Linked DNA regions of Arabidopsis thaliana. The protein of the gene in region 1 purifies or fractionates together with the protein of each later gene. This does not show direct contact. Each region holds a gene or a part of one and is shown on either strand. Other genes may lie near its edges.

Region 1 (4,626 bases):
GAAAAAATATGGCTTACTGATTTCCATGATCGTATCTTCCCATGCATTCCAATAGAATGAGTTCCAAATAGGTCCCTGCAAGAAGGAGATGAGCTCAAGCACATTGCACCACTATCATCAGCTTTACAGACAGCACAATTTGCCTGCAATTGGATCAAAAAAAAAAAAGAGAATCCAGATATGAGGTTCATGGCTTAGTTCAGAAATGGTTACAGAGGCGTCAGGGAAGAATAACTCGAGTAGTAGGTATAAACCTTGTATCTCCGATATCGTGCTTCATTATTTCCCAAAAACTGCTTGATAAACATATCCGTTAAGAAACCAGCAAGACCATCAAGGAGCCAATCTGTTATAACAACATGGACAATCATGAATCACAAAATTACATGTTTTCACATGAAGCTGATATAACAAATCGTACGCAAATCAAAGTGTAGAAAAATGTCACAAGCCCACCATCATTTGGTGATTCAGGAGTAATATAAACTCCAAACCACTGTTTTGCTAACGCAGAAGCAAGTTTAATGCGTGTATCTATTGTCTGCAAAGATAATTGAAGCTCTATCAGATTTTTGCATAAAGGAACTAAAAAGATGACGAAACACCACCAAAGAAAGAAAACTTCCTATAAACATAGTGAAAACTTCTACACCAAAATCCATATGCCAATGAAGGGGTGAAATGCAAGAAATAGATGAACGCAGCTTGCAATATTCATAAGTGGTAATGCAGAAATATATTTAACATGCTCAGACACGTGCTTGGTTGTACTTTTTTCAAAAATGCATCATACAAATTAGGTCTGGTGTGCCTTCCATCCTAATATTAGCATATACAAACCATTTACGTGCATGTGTCTGATGAAGGTATTATCTACCCACAGGTCAATTTACCAGGAAACAATACCTGATCAATAACCCTCTCATCATATAGTATGTGGGAGCTAAAGATACTCAAGGAAGCTCCCGAAGTCGACGAAGTAACAACCATTTCAGGAGGTAAAAATACTTGCTTGTAGAATCCAAATGGAAAGTTCGCACTTAAATAATCCTCATAGTAGCTGTAGAAGTTGAATTCCAGTAGACAAGACTTATACTTTAATTCAGTTTGACTACAATAAGTTGCCAGAATACAAATTTACGGACCTATAAGCTTCATGGAAAAATTCCATTGTATTACGAAGCCTCGAGAGATCATGCGGCAAACACAAGTTAGATATGAGAAAGTTGGTCTGATCTGGAAGGATTTCCAATGGTCCTGCAACTAAAGACACCCACCGCGGTGCAATAGGAATAGCTAGTTCATAAACATACGTTTTTTGAGTAGTATCTTCTTTGCACATAACCTGAAAAGTGTGAAAGTTTAAAGATTACGCCCCCTCCACCTTGTAAGAGTACTAATAAAATTGAATGATGGAAACTGTAAACCTATTCAACAAAGTTTTAGCTTATATGCCTACAATAACAGAGAAAAAGTTCTTCTGTTTGATCCAGATTCATTAGATAACTATACTGAACAGCAAAATCTTCTGATAATATAAGGACAGAACAATGAACAAGTTTCCTTGCAAATAGAGATAGTACACTTTCAGATTAAACAGCACTGGATATGGCTTCTTTCATATATAAGCTGAAACCAAATTTGGACGCAGATTTTATGCCTACGTCCACAAGTCACGGGAATGACAGCTTTTTCTAAGTTTTTCCATTCAATCCAGATCTATAATGGAATATGTCTTGTACGTAAGATACAGGATCGAAGAAAATAGCACTTCCTCTAATCCATTCATGTATGACAGATTTACACAACTTACCTGGTAGAGTAATTTCCCAACACTAACAGCCACAAAGTTGTGCGGAACAGTGAATTCCAAATCGAAACTGCACCCACCACAAAGTTATTAAAAAAAAAAGTTAAACAGGTTGTGATACCCACTTTGATCTCAAAAGACAGGAGATGAATACAGTGTTACTTCTTAACAAAACTGAATACCTGCAACGATGGTACTCATCATCAATACAAGGAAACCAACAACGAGCACGTCTCATCTGGTTATCAGTATGTACAATGTTCCCATCAAAATGAATTCCTGACTCTATTTTCTCTACCCAGTAGTTAATCCGAATCAATTTAACATTCTGCATCATATGAGCAAACATAAATCGTTAAACAAAGGACAGCGGTCACTTGTAACCCATGGCAGTGTATATGAGAATCAGAACAATTACCTGTTTTGCCTCCCCTGAAGATTGGGAACCGTTTTCTAAAGTCACACTGTCCAGCTGTTCAGATAAATCCTTAGAAGGCTTGCAACAGTTGATCAGTAAATTTGCAGTGTCTTCTCTCTTAAGAACCCCGACATATTCCATGGCCGCAGCATCAGCTGCTGAAGCTGGGTCAGAGACCGAGTTCCAGTTACTTTCAGTTTCAGAGTTCTGATGGTGCGGATAGTACTCAAATACAGTAGGTTCCCCATCTACCAAAACACTCTCAATTCCCAAGTTCTCTGCGTGTAGTCCCACAATACCAATATCTGGCACACTCACTTCTAACTCTGTGTAACTATAGAAAGCCAACAAAAATATCCCATGAAAATGCAGCCAAGAATGATAAAACCAAGGTATATAAGTAAAACCCCAAATAATCAAAAGCAGAGGATTCACCATAAATTGAAAAATCCAAAGAATACTGTCGGTGCAAGATTCAAATTCTGCCGGTTTCTTCATCCCGAATTATATATATCAACCAAAAATCACATTCACGGACTTGTTTCGCGAATGAAAAATCGAAAGAAAGAGAGGAAAACGGACCCGTAGATTTGGCGTTTTTTGAAGTCAATAGAGAGAAAGAGTTTCTGGTGAAGAACTTTAGCTCCAGTGTTCTCTGAAGTCTTCGCGCCAGGAGCTTCCTCGTTCTTCGGCTTTCGAGCCTTGGCCATGTTCCTTTTTTGCCGATATGTTAGCCGGAGATGTAACCTTTTTATACAGCCAACGATGGATCGGTTCCTAAATTACATAAAACTCCTCTATGTCTTAAACTTATTAAATATTCGGCTATTGTTTTCTAAATGTATTAATCTTACCCTTTGAGTTTGATGTTCATTTTATGGGCTTAGTTAAAGCATTCTCTTTTAGCCAAAAAAAAAAAGTTAAAGCATTCTCAATTAGGCCCATTTATTTGGATTTACATTCTTTCTCTCTCTCTCTCTTTTTGTGCAAAAGTTTTTCCTTCAATTTGAGGTTTCACTGACTTTTTCTATTTTATAGTTTTTGTTGTTGTATCATACCATACATTAAAAAAAAAAAAAAAAACTAGTATAATCCACTCTTAAAAAAATTGATGCTTAACATGTCAACTTCTGTCGTTACAAAAAAAAATGTCAACTCCTATTTCATGAGACCCTAGTGAAATGATGCATCTTTTAGTATTAGTGATGTATGAACTATGAAATGTCGGCCATTGATTTTTTTTTGTTTTAGCAGTTCTTGTGTTCGTTAATTCTTTTACGTTTAAATCTAATAGTATTTTTTGGGGGGGTTAAATGAGCATATTAAACGAGCCAACAAAACCATGGCTCTTGCCTCTTACAAATGCTCTCATATTAAACTGGTTAGTCAAACTATTTAGGGATGTCAAAACATAGTTTTCAGATACTGTGAATATTACTTGGTGATGTCAACCCATGTCTGAATATTCAAATAATTGTTTTGGTAATTGTGTACACATACGCATCGATTGTCGAGTATATACTATATATTTATGCACATACGCGTGTGAAGAGTGACAAAAATGCATAGGTTGTGGATTAATTTTCGCTAGATGCATTTTTTGTCGCTGTAAAAGTCACGTGAAAGTTGTAGTCTTGTAGAACTCGGAGATTATTATGAAGTAATGAACCCATCATAAGATCTTCCGGTGTTAAATAAAACATACATTGATGATGCAACAAGACAATCAACATATCCAAATTAAAAGAAAATCAATCATTCAATATGCTAACAAATTAGATAAAAACATGAAGCGATCATTTAATTTTTGTTCCCCTGTGTTTCCTATGCTGCTTGTAAATTAAGCTGTTGTACAAAAACAATTTGAAATTCATAATGAATAAATAATATATGATGAGAGGTTTGACTTTAATACGAACTTCAAATTTAATGAGGCCTCCTCTTCCTTGAACGCAAAGGAAGTTTCTTCGTTGGAAAACGCTGTCTCCAATTCACATCTCTCTCTTTCTCTTTCCCTCTGTACACACATACGTATACGTATATATATTAACACTATATTTCATTTATGTCTTCGATGGTCCTATGATCTTTAATCTCCATGGCGACGACTAGAGTCTCACATGTCTTAGGGTTTCTTCTATGGATCTCTCTTCTCATCTTCGTCTCCATAGGGTTGTTTGGCAATTTCAGCTCCAAACCCATAAACCCTTTTCCTTCTCCGGTTATTACCTTGCCGGCCCTTTACTACCGGCCGGGAAGAAGAGCTTTGGCGGTGAAAACGTTTGACTTCACACCGTTCTTGAAAGATCTTCGCCGGAGTAATCATCGGAAAGCTTTGCCGGCGGGAGGATCCGAGATTGACCCGAGATATGGCGTTGAAAAACGACTCGTCCCATCT
Region 2 (4,067 bases), on another chromosome or scaffold:
TAAAATTAATATAGAAAGGCTATTTTCTAAAAAAATCTAATTTATCTTTTTAATAACAAAATAAATTGCCTTTGACCTAAACAAAATTAAACTAAATTGCCAAGAAAATAAACGTATAGTAACGAAAATTAATATTTGCCTCTTGCCCAAATAGACTGAACGTCTTCAATTTTTCATTACTACTTGTTGTTAAGTAACCATTGTTAATTATGCATGTTACGTCCATGATTTACTCTAGCAGAAGAATATACCTTGGATCGGAAGATGATTCTTGTGTATAATTTGTTTGTTTGTACTTTGTATCCATGAATTTGTGGGTCTTATATTTTTTTGGTATAAAGACAGGCATTTTATACATTTTCCCATAGTTTTCTTCGGTTCTTTGGGAATTTCAATGGTCATATTCCAAAAACCAATAAATATCTCTCCTTGTTTCCCTCTTGGCCTGATTAAGGAGCCACTTCTTCTATCAACTGCGTAGTTGACATTTTTTCTGTGAATTATTGGTACCACACATTTCTGCTAGGTGCTCAATTTAAAGTTTCTTCATTTTGTAATTCAAATAATGTACTGAATATCACAGGAAAAGAAATCCATTCCATACTTGAAAAAAAAAATGTAATCTATCTCTATCTTCCGGATCAAATAAGAGTTTTTGATAACAATAAGAGGATCAAATCTCTCTATATTAGTTGAAATCAGAAACAAAGTACATAAAACTTAACTACTTCCATTCATAACCTCCATCGGACTAAGTTGTCTTGAAACTGACGACTTGCAGAGATGCTAATATGGAGACACTTGCTGCAACCTGCAAAAGGTTTCAAATACGTTTGGGTGGAACGTACTGCACCCGTGCTTGTTGGCATATGAACTGCCAGCGGATTTCCGCCACATACATGTGAAAAAGACGAACAGTCAATACGAAAACAGAGCTAAGGATTTGCTTATTAATCCCTTCTTAGGTTTCTAAGAGAAGTAAATATGTTTACCTGCATTTCCTCTGGGAGTGCCTCTGAGACAGCAAGAGTGTAGCAACCAGGAGCAAACTTCCCTGGAAACAAGATATTGCAATGTGTTAGATTTATTTCTCTTCTGTCTGAAACAAAGCTGGCAATATTAGGGAATACAACATCAGGTCATCAAGCCATAAACACACAGCAAATCAGAATGCAGCTACCGCTCAAATGGATGCAGACAACACAGTTAAATTCAGCACTAATATCCCCATTTATAAAGTATAATGGTGAGACAAGAATAACAGGAAACGGAAAGAAGAAGCTACACAGTATAGTAAACTCTAAAAGACAATGAGGATGATCAGGAAACAGAGCTGAAACATACCAATTCTTAACCATCTTGCTGCCCAACTTCTGCGTGGATCCATCATAGAGATTATACTGCAAAAACATTCATTATATCAATACATAATTACATGGACGTGACATCAACAAATGACAAGTATAATCAACACTAGCATCATCTCTGTTACTATTAACTCATTTTAACGTAAAGCAGCAAACTTTATGGTCATATCCACCACAGTGATTTCACAATTTGCAACGACTCATTCAACAAAAAAACGAGAGATTAGCGACCAACAATAAGTCTTCTCAATAAGTATAGACTATACGATTTAATCATAAGTATAGACTAGGTTCAGAAATTTCAATGTAACGACAAGTACGAGAGACAGACTTATGAACAGTGCCATGTAAATTTTCAAAGTAAGGATTCGAATTTAAGCCATACCCATTGAAGTTGGGAGTTGTAACATCGACGATGCGTTCATGATCGTCTTCTATTTTGAAGAAAGGACAGTTCTCGCATCCAGAATCCCTAAACTGTTGGAGAAACCAGATTAGGCAAAAAATATTCGCAAGAGAAGAAACACGCAAATCACAAGTGACAAGAGAATCCAGACCTGATCGTAGGTCTTGACGAGGCGGCATCGAAGACAAGCCCTAAGCTCGTGGCCGAAACTCGTCGGAATCTGGGCAGGCGCTTCTCCCATTGTGATTTGTCTTCAAAATCGAAATGTCTGCGAAGAACGACAACAATGTCTCCGTGTCTAATGTCTATCAATCAGTTCCGTACAAAATAGTATATAAGTACCATTAAGGTGGGCCTCAATATGGGCCCATAATGTGGTCCATAATGCAGGACTATTTCGGGAGGAGGAAACTAATTTTCTCTAAAAAGGGCCTGAAAGTCCAATAAACTAATAATCGCAAACCCATTCATATTCCATACGTTATCTGTATAACTTCGGCAACAAGATGAGTTCAATTTGTTAAAGGGTTTCAATCATTTCTACTCCTAGTGCCGTGCATAGTTTATTACTTTCTTTTCTTCAAAGAACCTTGTTTATTATTGTTCAAGCAAATTCGTGTGTATCGTCTTTGTCGTGTTTGGATAATTTTGCATTACGATTCTACCAACGGAATCACAAACGATACGTCATACGTGGCGGACCAGTCTTTGGAGAAGCTTTTTTCTTTCCGGGTTTTCATATACAAACTTCTGATGATAACATTTTTTTTTCCTACTAGCTCATTTTCTCCTATTTCCGGTCAATTAATGCGGATTTTGCACCACGCATCGGATTATAACATATGTATGATAACACGAGACTAAACGTCTAAAGCCTAAACCAATACATGCAGCTTAAGGACTAAGGTAAACGTCAAACGTGTATCGCCATCAAAAATCTTTTACCATGTCACATATTTTGTCATTCAAAGTTCACCTACCAAATACAATGCATAAAGGTTTTAAAAAGAAACCCTTAATATTTGTTTCTTCCAAGCTTTTAGTTGGATTTCTATATATTATTTGCTTTGACATTTCTTTGGCATCGTATTGATGTATAAAGGCGGCCTATGTTACATAAGATTTGAACACAATCTAAAAACACAAGACAATTCTGCCAAATCACATACCTTCCGCACCAAATATTTGTTTTCAAAGCATTCCTTTCTCTAGTCCGCCTATATATATGATTAAATTACTTGTTGAACACAACCAAATAATCCTCGAAGAATAGCATTACCGATATCATTGAAATTAACTTTTTTCTGTTTTGTTTATCTACAATCATTTCAAAACTAGTTTTCTATAAACGAAAACTTATATTTATTCCGCTTGTTCCGTTTGATCTGCTGATTCGACACCGTTTTAACGTATTTTAAGTAAGTATCAGAAATATTAATGTGAAGATAAAAGAAAATAGAGTAAATGTAAAGGAAAATGCATAAGATTTTGTTGGGACTATATATTAGATCGAGAGTAGCCTGTGATCAGCCACGCCTCTGCCCTTTGCTTCTTCTATTGCCTTCTTTTATAATATTTGTTTTGCCTTTCTTATTGAGTCTCTCTCTCCTTTTCATCTTCTTTAACGCTTCTCTTTTCCAGAACTTGCTCTCTCTCTCTCTTTCTATCATCTCCTCACCGCTTCCTAAATCTCTATAGCGGTCTTCCTTCCCTCCTTTGTTTCCGGGCTGTTCCTTAATCACTATCTCTTTCTCTTTCTTCTGCCATCGCCAAACCTTATCTGGGTTTTGCTTCTTATTTGGTAAGATTGGATTTTTCTCCCTTTTGATTTTGTCCTTCTTAGATCGTGTTAATTGATCTTCATCCCCAAGTGATCCTTCTTCTATTTAAGTTTGATGATGATTTTGACGATTTGTTTTTTTTGTTACTGCTAATCTTATTTGGGGATCCTTCTTGTAGGTGCACTGTGTCAATTTTGTGTGTTTATTGAGTAGTTTTGCTACTGACTAATTTGATTGAAATGATTGTGCGTATCTCGATTCACTGTTTTGTTTTTTTGCTTCGTCGGTGTAACAATTCAGAGGTGATTGTTTCGATTGCATTTAACTTGTCGTTTTGATCAATTGGGTTTGATTCACTTGTCTAATTGTTTTTGATGTTTGAATGCTAATCTCCTTACTATAGTCACTATCTCCTGCTACTAGATCTACATGGGAATTTGTTAATCCATTCTTTATTTCAAGGCTAAAGTTCATGTTTTTGGCATTCAAATGAAGTGAATTTTGAATTTTTCA

What was found.
Region 2: the proteins of TAF2 (region 1) and AT5G08565 fractionate together in Arabidopsis thaliana (co-fractionation; one large-scale study listed by BioGRID). This does not show direct contact.

Annotation. Positions count from the first base shown.
Region 1 is NC_003070.9:27,811,496-27,816,121, forward strand, and holds the start of TAF2 (TBP-associated factor 2), read right to left. Parts: upstream 3,025-4,626; 5' UTR 2,939-3,024; coding exon 2,811-2,938; exon of another isoform or gene 2,664-2,810; intron 2,563-2,663; coding exon 2,229-2,562; intron 2,139-2,228; coding exon 1,993-2,138; intron 1,881-1,992; coding exon 1,814-1,880; intron 1,346-1,813; coding exon 1,146-1,345; intron 1,061-1,145; coding exon 907-1,060; intron 542-906; coding exon 457-541; intron 347-456; coding exon 255-346; intron 144-254; coding exon 18-143; intron 1-17. Other genes in the region: CLE13 (CLAVATA3/ESR-RELATED 13), read left to right, coding at 4,327-4,626.
Region 2 is NC_003076.8:2,773,911-2,777,977, reverse strand, and holds AT5G08565 (Transcription initiation Spt4-like protein), read right to left. Parts: upstream 2,081-4,067; 5' UTR 2,015-2,080; coding exon 1,925-2,014; intron 1,845-1,924; coding exon 1,753-1,844; intron 1,401-1,752; coding exon 1,345-1,400; intron 1,111-1,344; coding exon of another isoform or gene 1,055-1,110; coding exon 993-1,054; intron 875-992; coding exon 824-874; 3' UTR 504-823; downstream 1-503. UniProt on the Arabidopsis thaliana protein: May regulate transcription elongation by RNA polymerase II. May enhance transcriptional pausing at sites proximal to the promoter, which may in turn facilitate the assembly of an elongation competent RNA polymerase II complex.